2 linked regions of the Stegostoma tigrinum genome follow. The protein of the gene in region 2 interacts with the protein of the main gene of each other region in a pairwise test. Links are inferred from orthologs where the notes say so. Each region holds a gene or a part of one and is shown on either strand. Other genes may lie near its edges.

The links.
Region 1: the proteins of kat7b (region 2) and ninl interact in a two-hybrid assay, tested with the Homo sapiens proteins (2 studies listed by BioGRID and IntAct). The two-hybrid records come from large-scale screens. The link is inferred for Stegostoma tigrinum from reciprocal best matches to the Homo sapiens genes KAT7 and NINL.

What each region holds. Positions count from the first base shown.
Region 1 is NC_081362.1:20,262,225-20,270,553, forward strand, and holds the start of ninl (ninein-like protein), read right to left. Parts: upstream 3,597-8,329; 5' UTR 3,318-3,596; intron 1-3,317. UniProt on the Homo sapiens protein: Involved in the microtubule organization in interphase cells. Overexpression induces the fragmentation of the Golgi, and causes lysosomes to disperse toward the cell periphery; it also interferes with mitotic spindle assembly.
Region 2 is NC_081384.1:23,490,241-23,498,734, forward strand, and holds the start of kat7b (histone acetyltransferase KAT7), read right to left. Parts: upstream 3,276-8,494; 5' UTR 3,127-3,275; coding exon of another isoform or gene 3,112-3,126; intron 1-3,111. UniProt on the Homo sapiens protein: Catalytic subunit of histone acetyltransferase HBO1 complexes, which specifically mediate acetylation of histone H3 at 'Lys-14' (H3K14ac), thereby regulating various processes, such as gene transcription, protein ubiquitination, immune regulation, stem cell pluripotent and self-renewal maintenance and embryonic development.

The sequences.
Region 1 (8,329 bases), on a different chromosome or scaffold from region 2:
ACAGGCTTTTGCAAATGAACATTTCATTACATTTTGCACTCTAAAATGTGCATTTTTGAAGACCCACATGCATATGGGTGTTTAGCAAAATTTTATCATCTAAAATTCTCGATGGAGCTTCAAGCGGATTTTCTTCTTGGCTTTTGATTCTCAAAATTGTAACATCTATCAAATACCTTAATAATAAAATGTGAGGCTGGATGAACACAGCAGGCCAAGCAGCATCTCAGGAGCACAAAAGCTGACGTTTCGGGCCTAGACCCTTCATCAGAGAGGGGGATGGGGGGAGGGAACTGGAATAAATAGGGAGAGAGGGGGAGGCGGACCGAAGATGGAGAGTAAAGAAGATAGGTGGAGAGGGTGTAGGTGGGGAGGTAGGGAGGGGATAGGTCAGTCCAGGGAAGACGGACAGGTCAAGGAGGTGGGATGAGGTTAGTAGGTAGCTGGGGTGGGAGGAAGGGATGGGTGAGAGGAAGAACCGGTTAGGGAGGCAGAGACAGGTTGGACTGGTTTTGGGATGCAGTGGGTGGGGGGGAAGAGCTGGGCTGGTTGTGTGGTGCAGTGGGGGGAGGGGATGAACTGGGCTGGTTTTGGGATGCAGTGGGGGAAGGGGAGATTTTGAAACTGGTGAAGTCCACATTGATACCATATGGCTGCAGGGTTCCCAGGCGGAATATGAGTTGCTGTTCCTGCAACCTTCGGGTGGCATCATTGTGGCAGTGCAGGAGGCCCATGATGGACATGTCATCAAGAGAATGGGAGGGGGAGTGGAAATGGTTTGCGACTGGGAGGTGCAGTTGTTTGTTGCGAACTGAGCGGAGGTGTTCTGCAAAGCGGTCCCCAAGCCTCCGCTTGGTTTCCCCAATGTAGAGGAAGCCGCACCGGGTACAGTGGATGCAGTATACCACATTGGCAGATGTGCAGGTGAACCTCTGCTTAATGTGGAATGTCATCTTGGGGCCTGGGGTGGGGGTGAGGGAGGAGGTGTGGGGACAAGTGTAGCATTTCCTGCGGTTGCAGGGGAAGGTGCCGGGTGTGGTGGGGTTGGAGGGCAGTGTGGAGCGAACAAGGGAGTCACGGAGAGAGTGGTCTCTCCGGAAAGCAGACAGGGGAGGGGATGGAAAAATGTCTTGGGTGGTGGGGTCGGATTGTAAATGGCGGAAGTGTCGGAGGATAATGCGTTGTATCCGGAGGTTGGTAGGGTGGTGTGTGAGAACGAGGGGGATCCTCTTGGGGCGGTTGTGGCGGGGGCGGGGTGTGAGGGATGTGTCGCGGGAGATGCGGGAGACGCGGTCAAGGGCGTTCTCAATCACCGTGGGGGGAAAGTTGCGGTCCTTAAAGAACTTGGACATCTGGGATGTGCGGGAGTGGAATGTCTTATCGTGGGAGCAGATGCGGCGGAGGCGGAGGAATTGGGAATAGGGGATGGAATTGCATCCACTGCATCCCTAAACCAGCCCAGTTCATCCCCTCCCCCCACTGCACCACACAACCAGCCCAGCTCTTCCCCCCCACCCACTGCATCCCAAAACCAGTCCAACCTGTCTCTGCCTCCCTAACCGGTTCTTCCTCTCACCCATCCCTTCCTCCCACCCCAAGCCGCACCCCCAGCTACCTACTAACCTCATCCCACCTCCTTGACCTGTCCGTCTTCCCTGGACTGACCTATCCCCTCCCTACCTCCCCACCTACACCCTCTCCACCTATCTTCTTTACTCTCCATCTTCGGTCCGCCTCCCCCTCTCTCCCTATTTATTCCAGTTCCCTCCCCCCATCCCCCTCTCTGATGAAGGGTCTAGGCCCGAAACGTCAGCTTTTGTGCTCCTGAGATGCTGCTTGGCCTGCTGTGTTCATCCAGCCTCACATTTTATTATCTTGGAATCTCCAGCATCTGCAGTTCCCATTATCTCTGATACTATCAAATACCTTATGCTATTTAAACAGGATAAAAATGAAAGAATCTTTTATTCTCCTTGCGCTAATACATCAAGCCCTTAAATGCATTTATACTGGCACTGTTGTGTGAAATGCAAAGCTTTACGGTGTCACCTCCAGTCAGAAGTGGTATTATAATTCAGGACAGTGAATAACATTAGAAACCAAACGAAAACCCAACTTTGAACCGGCTGTTAAAGTGAACTCGCGTTTGGATAAAGTCAAACTCCGAAGTTTATTTGCTTGATATGCTACTGTACAGAACTGAACTGCATTTGTGACTATGAACGTATACAAAGAGTTTTTTCTTATGAATAAAATATATTTTTGAAATAAAACAACGTACGACTCCAGGCTGAAGTTAAATGGGGGTCCGTTCATTTGTCAGACCCTCCTGGTCCATCAAATGCATGTGAATATACTCTGGTTCAAGGAAGAATGCCTTTGGTCGGTTTGGGTAGAGTCAAACTCGATGGTGTTTGTTCCTTTAATATGCTACCGTGCAGAACCGAACTGCATTTGTGGCTACGTCTCTCTCTATATCTAATATTTACAAAGATATGACCATGAATACAGTATATTTTGAAATAATAAAAAGGTACGGCTCTGGGTAGGTCGGAGAAATGTCAAAATTTCAACGTTTTGTTTGTTTCTTTTTCATTAAAAGGATTGCACAGAACTGGTTTACAGAATTTGTGTGTATTTATAGGTTATATGAGTAAAATATATTTTTGAAATAAAAGTGAGTCCAGACAGGATTACAAAGGAGATATTGCACTACCTTTTCTCAAAAATAGTAGGTCGAATTCTGGAGATTTTCTTACCATAGGATCGGTAATGGCGAGAAAGCTAAATTTCAAGACTTAATTTAAAAGAAAGCTGGTAGCTAGAACTTTACATTTAAGGAATGATAGCAACGCGCCCAGTGAAATGCAGAGATGAACTCAGAAACACTTCGCAGCATAGCTGGAGTCGCTGTCCTTCTGGATTCCGGTTTGCTTGGAGCAAACCCAAATGTATTTTTTCAAATGTTACACACACGAGCAAATTATACATGCTGTCTTTGCTTGGACAGGACAGCATTTCAATTGCCTGCCGTTAAAATCGGATGAGACACTCGGGAAATTAATAAAGTGGGATGATCATTAAATACAGCACCTGAAAAATTTATTTTAAAAATGAAGGTTTTCGAGGACATGCCTCCCGGCGAGCGGGGGAACAAAACCTCCTCAAATTCTTTTCCGAGGGAGGGACAGACAACGCTTCACCATGGGAACCAAGTCGACTCACTTCAAGTGAGCCAGTGAATAGCTTAACAGTGTTGTAAATATTCGCGTTTAAGACGCCTATGAGAGCCCGGAGAATATGTTTTTAAATCTTACCGCTTTTTTTCCAGCCCCTTGCTCTCACTTCCCTTTATCTTCTTCCCAACCCCCTCTATCGTGCCTCACTGAATACGAACCAGTGATCTTCATGGCTCCATTGTATCTAGTTCGTTACTCAGCCAGGTCGGTATCACAGTGATACTCCGCCGCTTTGTGACAATTTAGCGGACGAGTGTTACCCTTCACCATTCAATCAGACCGAGGTTCTCACCTCTGAACTCCAGCAAGTATAAACTAACCTCGCTTCCAATACAGGAAACTGGGCAGGCTTTGCCAACCTATCGCCCTTAAACTGCCCTTTCCTGATTGCAGCCCCTGCTGGCAGGGAGGAATATCACAAGAAAGTATTACGGTACCAACGGAGGCCATTTGGCCCATTGTCTCTCCGAATTCATTTGGTTTCCCCCTTCTGTCCCGATTACCGAACATTCTTCCTTTACGTTCTGTTTTGAATAGAGCTTTTAAAACTGCCACCACCATACGTCAGGCAGGGTTTTTTTTCACGTCACCTTTGCTTCTTTTGCAAATTGTTTAAATCTGTGCTCTCCCGTTGTTGATACTTTCATCACTTGGAGCACTTACTTCCTATTCATTTTATCCAAGCCCCTCGTGAATATGAACACCTCTTGTTTAAAAGGAATACCTGCCGAATTTCCTGTAATTGTGTTTGCACCTTTGACCTTATAAATCTCTCAAATTTTATTCTCCACGGAAGCAGTCCCAGCTTCTTCAATCTATTGTTATAACAGAAGTTCATCATTCTGGACACCAACCCCTTAAATCATTTTCTGTACTTAAATTAATTAGCAGAAATTGATACAGATTCCAGCTCAGGCTGAACTCTATTAGGAGCGTTCTACTCTTTACTGCATTCTGTTCTATTACCCTGATGTACTTAATGTAAGGTGTGTTTTTGCCTGCTTAGCACACAAAACAACACTTTTCGCTGTATTTTGGTACGTAATGATAATAAATCAGATCAAATCTAACGCCTTACAAAAGTCATAGTTCCTACACTCTATATTCCAATAGGAAATGGTACATTTTACAAACCATGCTCTCAATCTGTCAATGCCTATGCAAACATTCTCGTAAAATGTTAAAATACACGTTTTTTTTCATTCATTCACATGATGAGGGCATTGCTGGCTAGGCTAGCATTTATTGCTCATCTCTAATTGCCCAGAGGGTAGTTGACAGTCAACCACATTGCTGTGGTCTGGAGTCACATGTAGGCAGACCCAGGTAAGGACGGCAGTTTCCTTTCCAAAAGGACATGAGTTAACCAGATGGGTTTTCCCTGTATCTTGCTCAGAATAACACCAACAGTGCAGATTTGATTTATCTACTTGTCTGGTGGAGGTAGACCAATGACATCCCAGTTCACCTCACCCTTTGGAGTGGATGACAATGCTAAAGCATCACTGATTTAAAAAGGTAATGATGAAGGATCTACAATCATTAAGCAAGAACCAGCCTTTGGGTTAGGTAAACATAATTTTTTTATGAATTAAGAGCTGAAGTAAGACATTTTTCCCTGAGACTGCTACACAATTCAATAAGATCACTGATTACTTCATATTCCCACTTTGCCTGGCCAAATTTTTACACTCTTGCTCATCAAGAACCCATGTTAGACCTAAGAATATTCAAAGACTCTGCTTCTACTTCTTTTGAGGAAGAACATTCCAAACATTCCCATACTCTGAATTTTAAAAAAAAACTCTCTTCTCATTCCCTGTCTTAAATGGGTGTCCTTTGAGTTCCAGTATAATAAATTATAACAAAGAACTGTGGATGCTGGCAATCTGAAACAAAAGTAGACGTGGCAGAAGAAACTCAGCAGGTCTGGCAGCATCTGTGGGAGAAAGCAGGATAACATTTTGAGTCTAGTGATTCTTCATCAAATGAAGAAAAATAATATTGTTCTAGATTCTTCCACAAGAAGAAACATCCTTTCTACATCCATCCTGTCAAGATACCTCAGGATTTTGTGTACATCAATCAAGTCACCTCTATCTTTCTAAGGTGCAGTCTTTGCAAGACTCATCTGTCCCACCTTTCCTCATAAAACAACAAACCCATTCCAGACATTAGTCTAGTAAAGCATCTACAAGCTACTTCCAATACACTTACATGCTGCCTTAAATAAGATGACCTGTACTGTACTTGGTACTCAATGTGATCTCACCAGTGCCTGTATAACTGAAGTATAACTTTCCTACTTCTGTATTAAATTCCCATCATAATAAATAAGAATATTGTATTAGTTTTCCTCATTACTTGTTGTACCTATATACTAATCTTTTACAAGTCATGCACTTTGGCAAACAGATATCTCTGTATCTTCAAGATCTGCAACCTCTTACCATTTAGATAATATATTTCTGTTCTAATCTTCCTGCTGAAATGGGCAATTTCAGATTTTCCCAGATTATACTCCATTTGTGAGATCTTTGCCCACTCACTTAAGTGGTCTATATTCATTTGAAACTTCCTTACGTCCTTTTCACAACTTACAGTCTTAACTACCTTTTGTGTGATCAACAAATTTAGTAACTGTGCCTTTGGTTCCTTCAACATTGTCGTACATGATGCATTGGGCTATCTATCACAAGTAAAGTGGGTTTCATTTTTATTTTCATGAATAAACCTTCCGGTTTTAGAGTCATACAGGACAGAAACAGTCCAAATTGTCCATGCTGACTAGGTATCCTAAACTGAACTAGTCCTATTTGCCTGTGTTTGGCCCATATCCCTCTTAACTCTTCCTATTCATGTGCCTATCCAAATGTCTTTTAAATGTTGTAGTTGAACATGTCTCTACCACTTCCTCTGGAAGGTCATTGTACACACACACTGTGTGAAAATATTGTCCCTCCTGTCCCTTTTAACTCTTTCCCCTATCACTTTAAACTCTAGTTTTTGACTCCCCTACCATTGGACAAAGACCTTGTCAACTGATGTTATCAATGCACCTATGCACAATGATTTTATAAACTTCTTTAAGGTCACCCCTACAGCCCCCAATGCTCCAGTGGAAAAATATCCCAGCCTATCAGCTTTTCCTTCTACCTCAAACCCTCCAGTCCCAGCAACATCCTGGTAAGTATTTCCTTCCCCTTTTCCGTCCTTTCCCAGAGGGTTACGGCTCAAGGCTGTGATATACCTTTGCTAATGCTAGTAGCCTTCTGCATTTCAAACAAGTGACTATTTGTCACGCAGGACTGTCTTCATCTGACAGACAGTCAGCACTTTCTGATTAGTGACAGGAACTCCAGCTGATTTCCTTTTCTTCCCCGCCATCTATTAACCCAGTGGTGTTCAACCCAAATTGGATCTTGGACCCTCCTGGACCATAGTGTAGGACCCCAATGCATGCTACATATACCTATGGAATCATGTCATTTGAGGTATACCTGTCTTCTTGTAAAGCATTTTTTAATTAATTTCCTACATGCTCTCCCTCAAAAACATGCTTTCATCCCAGGCTCCAAGCTAACAATAGCTACACGAAGACATTTTGGAAGAGTGACTAATTGGATACATTTAGATAACGTGGAATGTGGACATTGTTGAGTGTGAGCATTTATCAACCACAAGCAAAATATTGAACTGCTTTCAAAATAAAACGTTTAAACTTAAGATAAAAGATTTCCTATTAACTAAATACTTCAAACAAACAATAAGTCTTTCAAAGCACTGAAGATGTGAACAATTATTACAAAGGACAAAACTGCCAAAGTGGGAGTACTGTGCAGTCAGTCAGATTTTTTTTGATGCACACAGATATTGACAATATGCTGTTTCTTTTTCAATTTTCTGCAATCTTTCCCAAAGGTGTTGGATGTATTTATGGTAGCATGGTGGTTCAGCATTATTGCCTCACAACTCCAGGAACTTGGGTTTGATTCCACCCTTGGAAAACTGTTTGTGTGGAGTTTGCACATTCTCCCTATATGTGGGTGGGTTTCCTCCAGATGGTCTGGTTTCCTCCCACAGTCCAAAGACGTGTAGGTTAGATGGATTTGTCCATGCTAAATTGCTCATAGTATCCAGGTTTGTGCAGGCTAGGTGGATTAGCCATGGGAAATGCAGGGTTACAGGGATAGAATAGTAGGGGATTGTCTGGGCAGCTCGCTCTTCGGAGACTTGGTATGGTCTCAATGGGCTGATAGGGATTCTATGATTCTAAGTCTATTTCACAATATAAACTAAAACTAAAGATTAATCAGCCATCTCTATTTAGTGTAAAAGATCCTATGATGCTTTTTCTTAAAAATACAACACAGGAGTTCTTCCTCCTATCCTGGCTAATCTTCAGCCCTCATTTCATTTTGCTGTTTCATTTTGATGTATGCAAGTTGCTTAATTTATTTTTTTATTCCTATCTGAACTTGCACTTTAAGAACACTTTTAGCACCCATAAAGTAATTACATACTGTTGAGTTGTAACTGCTTAGCAACATGGGAACAATCGTTTTAAAATTAAAATGTAAGGCAACTGGCATTTATAATATAAACACACAACTTTACCGGATGATGAGGATATTGGTGTTGAAAGTTCCATAGAGAAATCTGAACACCTAGTGAGTTACTGGAAGAACTACACCAAACGATTTAATGTTTTAAAACAATACAGACTTTACTGTATATATAAAAACAAAGCAAGCATCTTAACACCATAGTTTGTCAAGACTTTTAATCATCAGTTCTTATCCAGTCCCCCTTTTACTGCTTTAATTTCACAATTTTGAGGGTTCATTCACCTCTTCATCTGGAAACAAACCAAGAAAGGCAAAGCTCTCTGGAATTCTCTTTGTCTTCTGCTTAGTGTGCCAGCTAATCTCCAACTTATGAGATGCAATGAGGACCCTTGAGTTTGCTTGTGGTTTGGTGATTGTCCAACATTTCTACAAAAAACCATAACTGGTAACTTCTGAGCTCAACCTTGAACCTCATAGCTTTTGTATTTATCAATTTAAAAATCAGAACATCCTAGTTCCATT
Region 2 (8,494 bases):
ATCAAAGTAGGAATAACAATACTGGTATCTACCCAACATTGATAATAGCCCACGTATGAACTATATACAAAAAGTAGGATAAATGCAAACTGGTTAATTACTGCCCAATCAGTCTGCTGTTGCTTATCAGCAGTGATGGTAGGGGTCAGCAGCAGGGCTGACAAACAACACTCGATTAGCAACAACCTGCTCATTTGGGATCCATCGGGGCCACTCAGCTCCTGACCTCATTATAGTCTTGGCTCAAACATGGATAAAGGAGATGAGTTCCAGAGGTGAGGTGAGGTAAGAGTGACAGCCCTTGACATCAAGGCCATGTCCGACAGTGTGTTAAACTAAGGAGCCATATCAAAACTAATATCAACGACAATCAGAGGCAACTTGCCACTAGTCTGAGTCATTGTCACCAAAAAGAAATATAGCTGTCATTGTTGGAGGTCAGTCATTTCAGCTCAAGGGCATCATTGCAGGACTTGCAGGGTAGATTTTTTTAATTAACTTGATCAGACATCTTATGACACACCTCCAGAGCAAGTGGGACTTATACCCAGGTCTCAGGCCCAGAATTAGGGACACCAGTTCGACAGCTCAAGAAGCCTGAAGTTTCTTAGCATAGTGTTCTAGGTCCAATCATCTTCAACTGCTTCGTTAAGAACCTTCCTCCCAATATGAAATCAGACACAGATGTTTACTCAAGATTAAATAATGTTCAGCAACATATACGTGATACCTCACACACTGAAGAAGTTCTTGCCCAAATACAGCAAGTTCAGAAATCAAACGACAGCAGATTATAGACCAAGGTTAAGGTTTTACAACGTTGCCTTCACCTGATAATAATCTGGTGGCATCTGATTTCTGACCTTGTTCACCCCGGTCAAATACTGGCACCTCCAGATCAAATTCAGCAAGATCTGGGTGATATCCAGGCTTGGGATGATAAGTGAGAAGTAGCATTCATGTCAAACTAATGCTAGGAAATGAACATCTCATTGACAGAATCTAACCATCAATGAATTCCCTACTAGCATCATCCTGGGGTAAGCACTCACTGAAAACTGAACCAGTCACACAAATATTGTGGCTGTTAGAGCAGATCAGATGCTAGGGATCTTGCAGCGAATAGCTTACTTAAGTTTCCTCAAAGACCGTTTATCATCTACAAAGCACAAGTCAGGAGTATATTGAAATACTCTTAGCTTGCCTGGATAAGTACAGATCCAACACCACCCAATATGTTTGACACCATCCAAGAATTAGAAGCCAACCTGATTGGCACCATATCCGTAAATATTCACTCCCTCTACCACAGACGCACAGCACTACACAGAATCTCCTGCAAAAGTTCACCAGGTCTCCATAGACAGCTCCTTCCAAACCCAAGATCGTTATCATCTAGATGTGCAAGGGCAGCAGGTACCTGGGAGCACCAATATCTGCAACTTGCCCTCCAACTTACCTTCCGCCATGTCTTGGAACAATTTTGCCATTCATTCAGTGGCATTGGGTCAAAGTACATCAGCAAATGGACTGCTGTGGTTCAAGAAGGCAGCTAACCTTTTCGATTGCACTTAGGAATGAACGATAAATGCTGGCCCAGCCAATCAACCTTACACCCACAGAATCACTTTTATCTAACAAGAATTGCACCAGTTACTGTGGCAGCCTGATAATTCTAGTGTCATTTCAGAACCATTTTAACTCCAACGAAGACTGCTATTAGATAAATTACAAATTGGCAACATATCAAGCAGCACGATCCATGCCAAACACGTGAATGCAACACCGTTAATCACCTGCAGTACTGAGGAAGTGCTGTTGTTTGGATACAACAGTAAATGCTCCATCAACTCTAACAAAGAACAAGGGATTATCCCCAGCATCCTGGCCAATACTATCCCTCAAACAACATCGCAGAAAATAAATGAACTATTCTGCTATTCGTGACGGCTTGCTGAGCTCACACTTGGGTGTTTCTTAGTGATTGCATTTCAAAAGTAGTTCAACGGCTGTACATATTTGGGAACCTCCGGAGGCTGTGAAAGACACTCTTTATTTTCACTTTACAACTGAAGAACCAAATTGTCAAAGGAAGGCGCATCAAGGGAAAGGCTCACAGTAATCATACAGTACTGACAGCAATCAGAAATATGAAGAAAACCTACTGTATTGAATTAATTAAATTAACCTAAGCACTGGCTTCTCCTTTACCACTGTCATTTATTACTGGGTCCCAGTACAGACAGCAATGGTTCAAACTAAACAGAAGTTGCTGGAAAAGATCAGCTGGTCTGGCAGCATCTGAGAAGGAAAAAAAAGTTAACGTTTCGGGCCCAGTCAGTCTTCCTCAGAATTTTAACTTTTTTTTCCCTTCATAGATGCTGCCAGACCTGCTTAGCCTTTCCAGCAACTTTGTTTTTGTTCCTGATTTACAGCATCCTCAGTTCTTTTGGTTCTTATTTAGCAATAGATTAAAGCGCGCTGTATTAGGTTATGTTGGTAGCAGACAACAAATTCTAACTGTGCGACAATGCTGATCGCTTATCACTAGTCAGTCAACCGAACTGTAACTACGTTCGGTGGCGTGGTGTGGTGCCTTGTCTTGTTTCGGCTGACCCAGCCCCCCACTGCCCAGAAGCAGCTGCCACTGTTGCTTTTGCACAAACCGCTTCCACCCTCCAACAGACCCGGGGGCGGGGCGGCGACTATCCGCCAGCCAATCATATGGCGGGAACGCCGGCATAGCCTTGATTGACAGAGGTCGCTGCCAATAGAATGAGCGAGGGGCGGGTCCGCGCGCGCCACTGGGACCTTGGCAGGCCCGGCGCCAAGCAGCGGTTTCTCGTATTTTCCATGGGGCCGGCAGGAAACGAGAGAAGCTCCGTCCCATCCCGTCTCCTCTCTCCCCTTCCCTTAAAATGGCATGTCCGGCCCGTCAAGGGGTGAGTCAGACCTTGAGCCTTCCCTCTCCCTGAGATTCCGGCAGAAAAACAAGTCACCGGGGAGGAGGAGGATGGAGAATGGTGGCGGCGAGAGGATTACAATAAATCCTGCCACCCAGGGAATGGAGGGTGAGATTGTAATTCAGCCGCGGCCTACAGGAACGCTCACCTTTCTCCGCGGCATCCTGCTCCCCTTACACCTCAGTAAGCCACTACTCGCTGTCCCCAGGACCGACTCCGCTTCTTCACAAAAAAATACAATCCCGAACCACTCGCGCCGTTGGCCGTTGTTGTTTTCCGCCACTTCCGGTCCGAGCGGAAGGTAATAGCAGTGGTGTTCCGGCTGCTCCGCGCTTTCAGTTCCTCTTGGTGGGACGGGGCCGGGGGACCGGAGCGGAGTGTGCACCAAATTAGCTGGCCGAGGCTGGAAGCTCTCATTAGCACTAAGGCAGCACCGGTAGAGACAAACAGCAATGTTCACGCTTCTGGCCGATGGTCTTTTAACGTGCGTGCGTGGGTGGGCGGGTGTTTTATTGTCAAGCGGGTGCTGAGGCAGATATTTCTCAAACTTGGTTCAGAGAAAGTAGGAACTGCAGATGCTGGAGAATCTGAGGTAACAAGATGTAGAGCTGGATGAACGCGGCAGGCCAAGCAGCAGAGGAGCCGGAAAGCTGATGTTTCGGTTCTGGACTTTTCTCCAGAAGGGTTTCATCTTGTTATGTCTATTTCTCAAACTTTCCTCGATCTTCGTCGGGATGGTTCAGAGAAGCGGGGTTAGAAACGGAGCTGCAAATTAGAATAATCCTCCTGAAGAGAAGTCATACCAGACTCAAAACATTAACTCTGTTTCTGTCTCCACAGATGCTGCCAGACTTGTTGAGTGTTTCCAGCAACTTCTGTTCTTATTTCAAATTTCCATCATCTGCAACTCTGTTTTATTTTGTTGTTTCCCTGTGCCCAAGTGGACATCCATGTTTAGCCTACTTTATACATACATAGACATGGTAGTTCAGAAATTAAAACTGCAAATGCTGAAAAAACTCTGTCTTCCGGCAGCAGCAGAGGGTCAAGTAAAGTCAATGTTTTAGTTTGATAATCCTTCAGAATTCTGGCATCCACTGTATTATCTACAGATGCAGGAGACCATCTGTAATTTTATCATCTTAATGGGTAAGATTAAGCAAAAATTTAACTCACTTTTTGTAGGAATTAGAAATAATTCAGTCCTAGGACTCGATGGACAATCTCAGTACTATACTGGTGAGAATTAAGGGGAAATCAGTGTTGAATTTGGCATTGTGTGCCTTCTATTTGATAGAGTATGTTTCTATTTAGCTTCCTTTAAATCATCTTAAATTCAGACAGCCCAAATAATAATGACTGAGAATCTATTCTACCTTTTGGAGTCTTGGAAAGCTGTAGCACTGTTTTCCCAACAATACTTTCAACAAATGTGACCATCAGATCATTGTTGCGAATAGCACATTGATGTGACTTCAGACTTCCATCAGCTGATGGCAAGTTGTCAATCAGAAGGTCTCTGAGCCAGTCTCACACCTTTGACACTTCCCAACCTGAACTCATGTAAAACTGTTGCTCTTTTCCTAACTTGCATCCAGACCGTATGTATGAGTCCTGTACTCATTGCTTATCTGTAAGTAAATGTAGGCCAAACACCTTAAATTTAAAATTCTGGTCTTTGTTTTAATTCTTCCTTGGCTCTGTCTCTCACTGTCACCTTCTCAAATTCTGTTCACGTGTTCTGCATACTCAGATTTTAATTACTGTCACTGGTGGTCATGCTTTCAGCTTCCTGGGCCCCGGCCACTGGAACCTCCGTACCTCTGTCTTCCTTACAAATGTTCCGAAAAATGAAATGTCTTTGGGTCACATGTCCTGATAGGTAGCTCTATGTCAAATTTTGTTTGTTGGCACTCCTATGAAGTGTCTTGAGATGTTTTACTGGATTAGGGACACTATATAAATATAAATTGTTTTTCTTGTACGGTAGTAGCAGCAAAAATGTATGATTATTTAATAGGTGATAAATTAAGATAGGTTGGCTATTTGCCTGTTTATCTTCTAACCTTGGAGAAAAGACTGAAATAACTATGGTCTGTAGCTGTGAGACTGGAAAAGCACAGCAGGTAAGACAGCATCCGAGGAACTGATAATTGAACATTTCAGGCCAAACTTTTAGTTATACCTGCTGCTTGGATGCTCTCTGACCTGCTATGCTTTTTCAGATTTACACCTATAAACTCTGGCTTCTGGCAACTGCAGTCCTTATTTGTCTCCAAGTCACTGAAATAATCCTAATCTTAGGAAGATAGAATATTTTCATAGTATCTTTGCCTTTGCAAGATTGCAATCCCCTTGGGTTTGGGCCCTTATTTGTTGTGTGCAGTTTATTCTTCGAAAAAAACCTTTCGTCGTTACACATAGGTCCTAAAAAAGAATACAAAACTTGAAAGTCTCATTTCAAATTGACATAATAAATTAGATTTTGAATGCCTCCTGCTGGCCTTTTAAGATAACAATCTTTTTGAACGTAGTATCAGAGATAATGGGAACTGCAGATGCTGGAGATTCCAAGATAATAAAATGTGAGGCTGGATGAACACAGCAGGCCAAGCAGCATCTCAGGAGCACAAAAGCTGACGTTTCGGGCCTAGACCCTTCATCAGAGAGGGGGATGGGGGGAGGGAACTGGAATAAATAGGGAGAGAGGGGGAGGCGGACCGAAGATGGAGAGTAAAGAAGATAGGTGGAGAAGGTGTGGGTGGGGAGGTAGGGAGGGGATAGGTCAGTCCAGGGAAGACGGACAGGTCAAGGAGGTGGGATGAGGTTAGTAGGTAGCTGGGGGTGCGGCTTGGGGTGGGAGGAAGGGATGGGTGAGAGGAAGAACCGGTTAGGTAGGCAGAGACAGGTTGGACTGGTTTTGGGATGCAGTGGGTGGGGGGGAAGAGCTGGGCTGGTTGTGTGGTGCAGTGGGGGGAGGGGATGAACTGGGCTGGTTTAGGGATGCAGTGGGGGAAGGGGAGATTTTGAAACTGGTGAAGTCCACATTGATACCATATGGCTGCAGGGTTCCCAGGCGGCCTCCTACCCTCCCTCGACCTCTTCATCTCCAACTGCCGTCGAGACATTAACCGCCTCAACCTCTCCACCCCTCTCACCCACTCCAACCTCTCCCCCGCAGAACGGGCAGCCCTCCGCTCCAACCCCAACCTCACCATCAAACCCGCAGACAAGGGTGGCGCAGTGGTAGTATGGCGTACTGACCTCTACATCGCCGAGGCCAGACGCCAACTCTCCGACACCACCTCCTACCGCCTCCTCGATCATGACCCCACACCCGAGCACCAAACCATCATCTCCAACACCATTCATGACCTCATCACCTCAGGGGACCTCCCACCCACAGCCTCCAACCTCATTGTTCCCCAACCCCGCACGGCCCGTTTCTATCTCCTTCCCAAAATCCACAAACCTGCCTGCCCTGGTCGACCCATCGTCTCAGCCTGCTCCTGCCCCACCGAACTCATCTCCACCTATCTGGACTCCATTTTCTCCCCTTTGGTCCAGGAACTCCCCACCTATGTCCGTGACACCACCCACGCCCTCCACCTCCTCCAGAACTTCCAATTCCCTGGCCCCCAACACCTCATATTCACCATGGACGTCCAGTCCCTGTACACCTGCATTCCGCATGGAGATGGCCTCAAGGCCCTCCGCTTCTTCCTGTCCCGCAGGCCCGACCAGGCCCCCTCCACCGACACTCTCATCCGCCTAGCGGAACTCGTCCTCACACTCAACAACTTCTCTTTTGACTCCTCCCACTTCCTACAGACTAAGGGGGTGGCCATGGGCACCCGCATGGGCCCCAGCTATGCCTGCCTCTTTGTAGGTTACGTGGAACAGTCCATCTTCCGCACCTACACAGGCCCCAAACCCCACCTCTTCCTCCGGTACATTGATGACTGTATCGGCGCCGCCTCTTGCTCCCCAGAGGAGCTCAAACAGTTCATCCACTTCACCAACACCTTCCACCCCAACCTTCAGTTCACCTGGGCCATCTCCAGCACATCCCTCACCTTCCTGGACCTCTCAGTCTCCATCTCAGGCAACCAGCTTGTAACTGATGTCCATTTCAAGCCCACCGACTCCCACAGCTACCTAGAATACACCTCCTCCCACCCACCCTCCTGCAAAAATTCCATCCCCTATTCCCAATTCCTCCGCCTCCGCCGCATCTGCTCCCAGGATAAGACATTCCACTCCCGCACATCCCAGATGTCCAAGTTCTTCAAGGACCGCAACTTCCCCCCCACGGTGATTGAGAACGCCCTTGACCGCGTCTCCCGCATTTCCCGCGACACATCCCTCACACCCCGCCCCCGCCACAACCGCCCCAAGAGGATCCCCCTCGTTCTCACACACCACCCTACCAACCTCCGGATACAACGCATCATCCTCCGACACTTCCGCCATTTACAATCCGACCCCACCACCCAAGACATTTTTCCATCCCCACCCCTGTCTGCTTTCCGGAGAGACCACTCTCTCCGTGACTCCCTTGTTCGCTCCACACTGCCCTCCAACCCCACCACACCCAGCACCTTCCCCTGCAACCGCAGGAAATGCTACACTTGTCCCCACACCTCCTCCCTCACCCCCATCCCAGGCCCCAAGATGACATTCCACATTAAGCAGAGGTTCACCTGCACATCTGCCAATGTGGTATACTGCATCCGCTGTACCCGGTGTGGCTTCCTCTACATTGGGGAAACCAAGCGGAGGCTTGGGGACCGCTTTGCAGAACACCTCCGCTCAGTTCGCAACAAACAACTGCACCTCCCAGTCGCAAACCATTTCCACTCCCCCTCCCATTCTCTTGATGACATGTCCATCATGGGCCTCCTGCACTGCCACAATGATGCCACCCGAAGGTTGCAGGAACAGCAACTCATATTCCGCCTGGGAACCCTGCAGCCATATGGTATCAATGTGGACTTCACCAGTTTCAAAATCTCCCCTTCCCCCACTGCATCCCTAAACCAGCCCAGTTCATCCCCTCCCCCCACTGCACCACACAACCAGCCCAGCTCTTCCCCCCCACCCACTGCATCCCAAAACCAGTCCAACCTGTCTCTGCCTACCTAACCGGTTCTTCCTCTCACCCATCCCTTCCTCCCACCCCAAGCCGCACCCCCAGCTACCTACTAACCTCATCCCACCTCCTTGACCTGTCCGTCTTCCCTGGACTGACCTATCCCCTCCCTACCTCCCCACCCACACCTTCTCCACCTATCTTCTTTACTCTCCATCTTCGGTCCGCCTCCCCCTCTCTCCCTATTTATTCCAGTTCCCTCCCCCCATCCCCCTCTCTGATGAAGGGTCTAGGCCCGAAACGTCAGCTTTTGTGCTCCTGAGATGCTGCTTGGCCTGCTGTGTTCATCCAGCCTCACATTTTATTATTTTTGAACGTAGATTTGGTTTGACTGAAAAGAAACTAGCATATGGGAAATTCATTTAAAAATTTAAATACA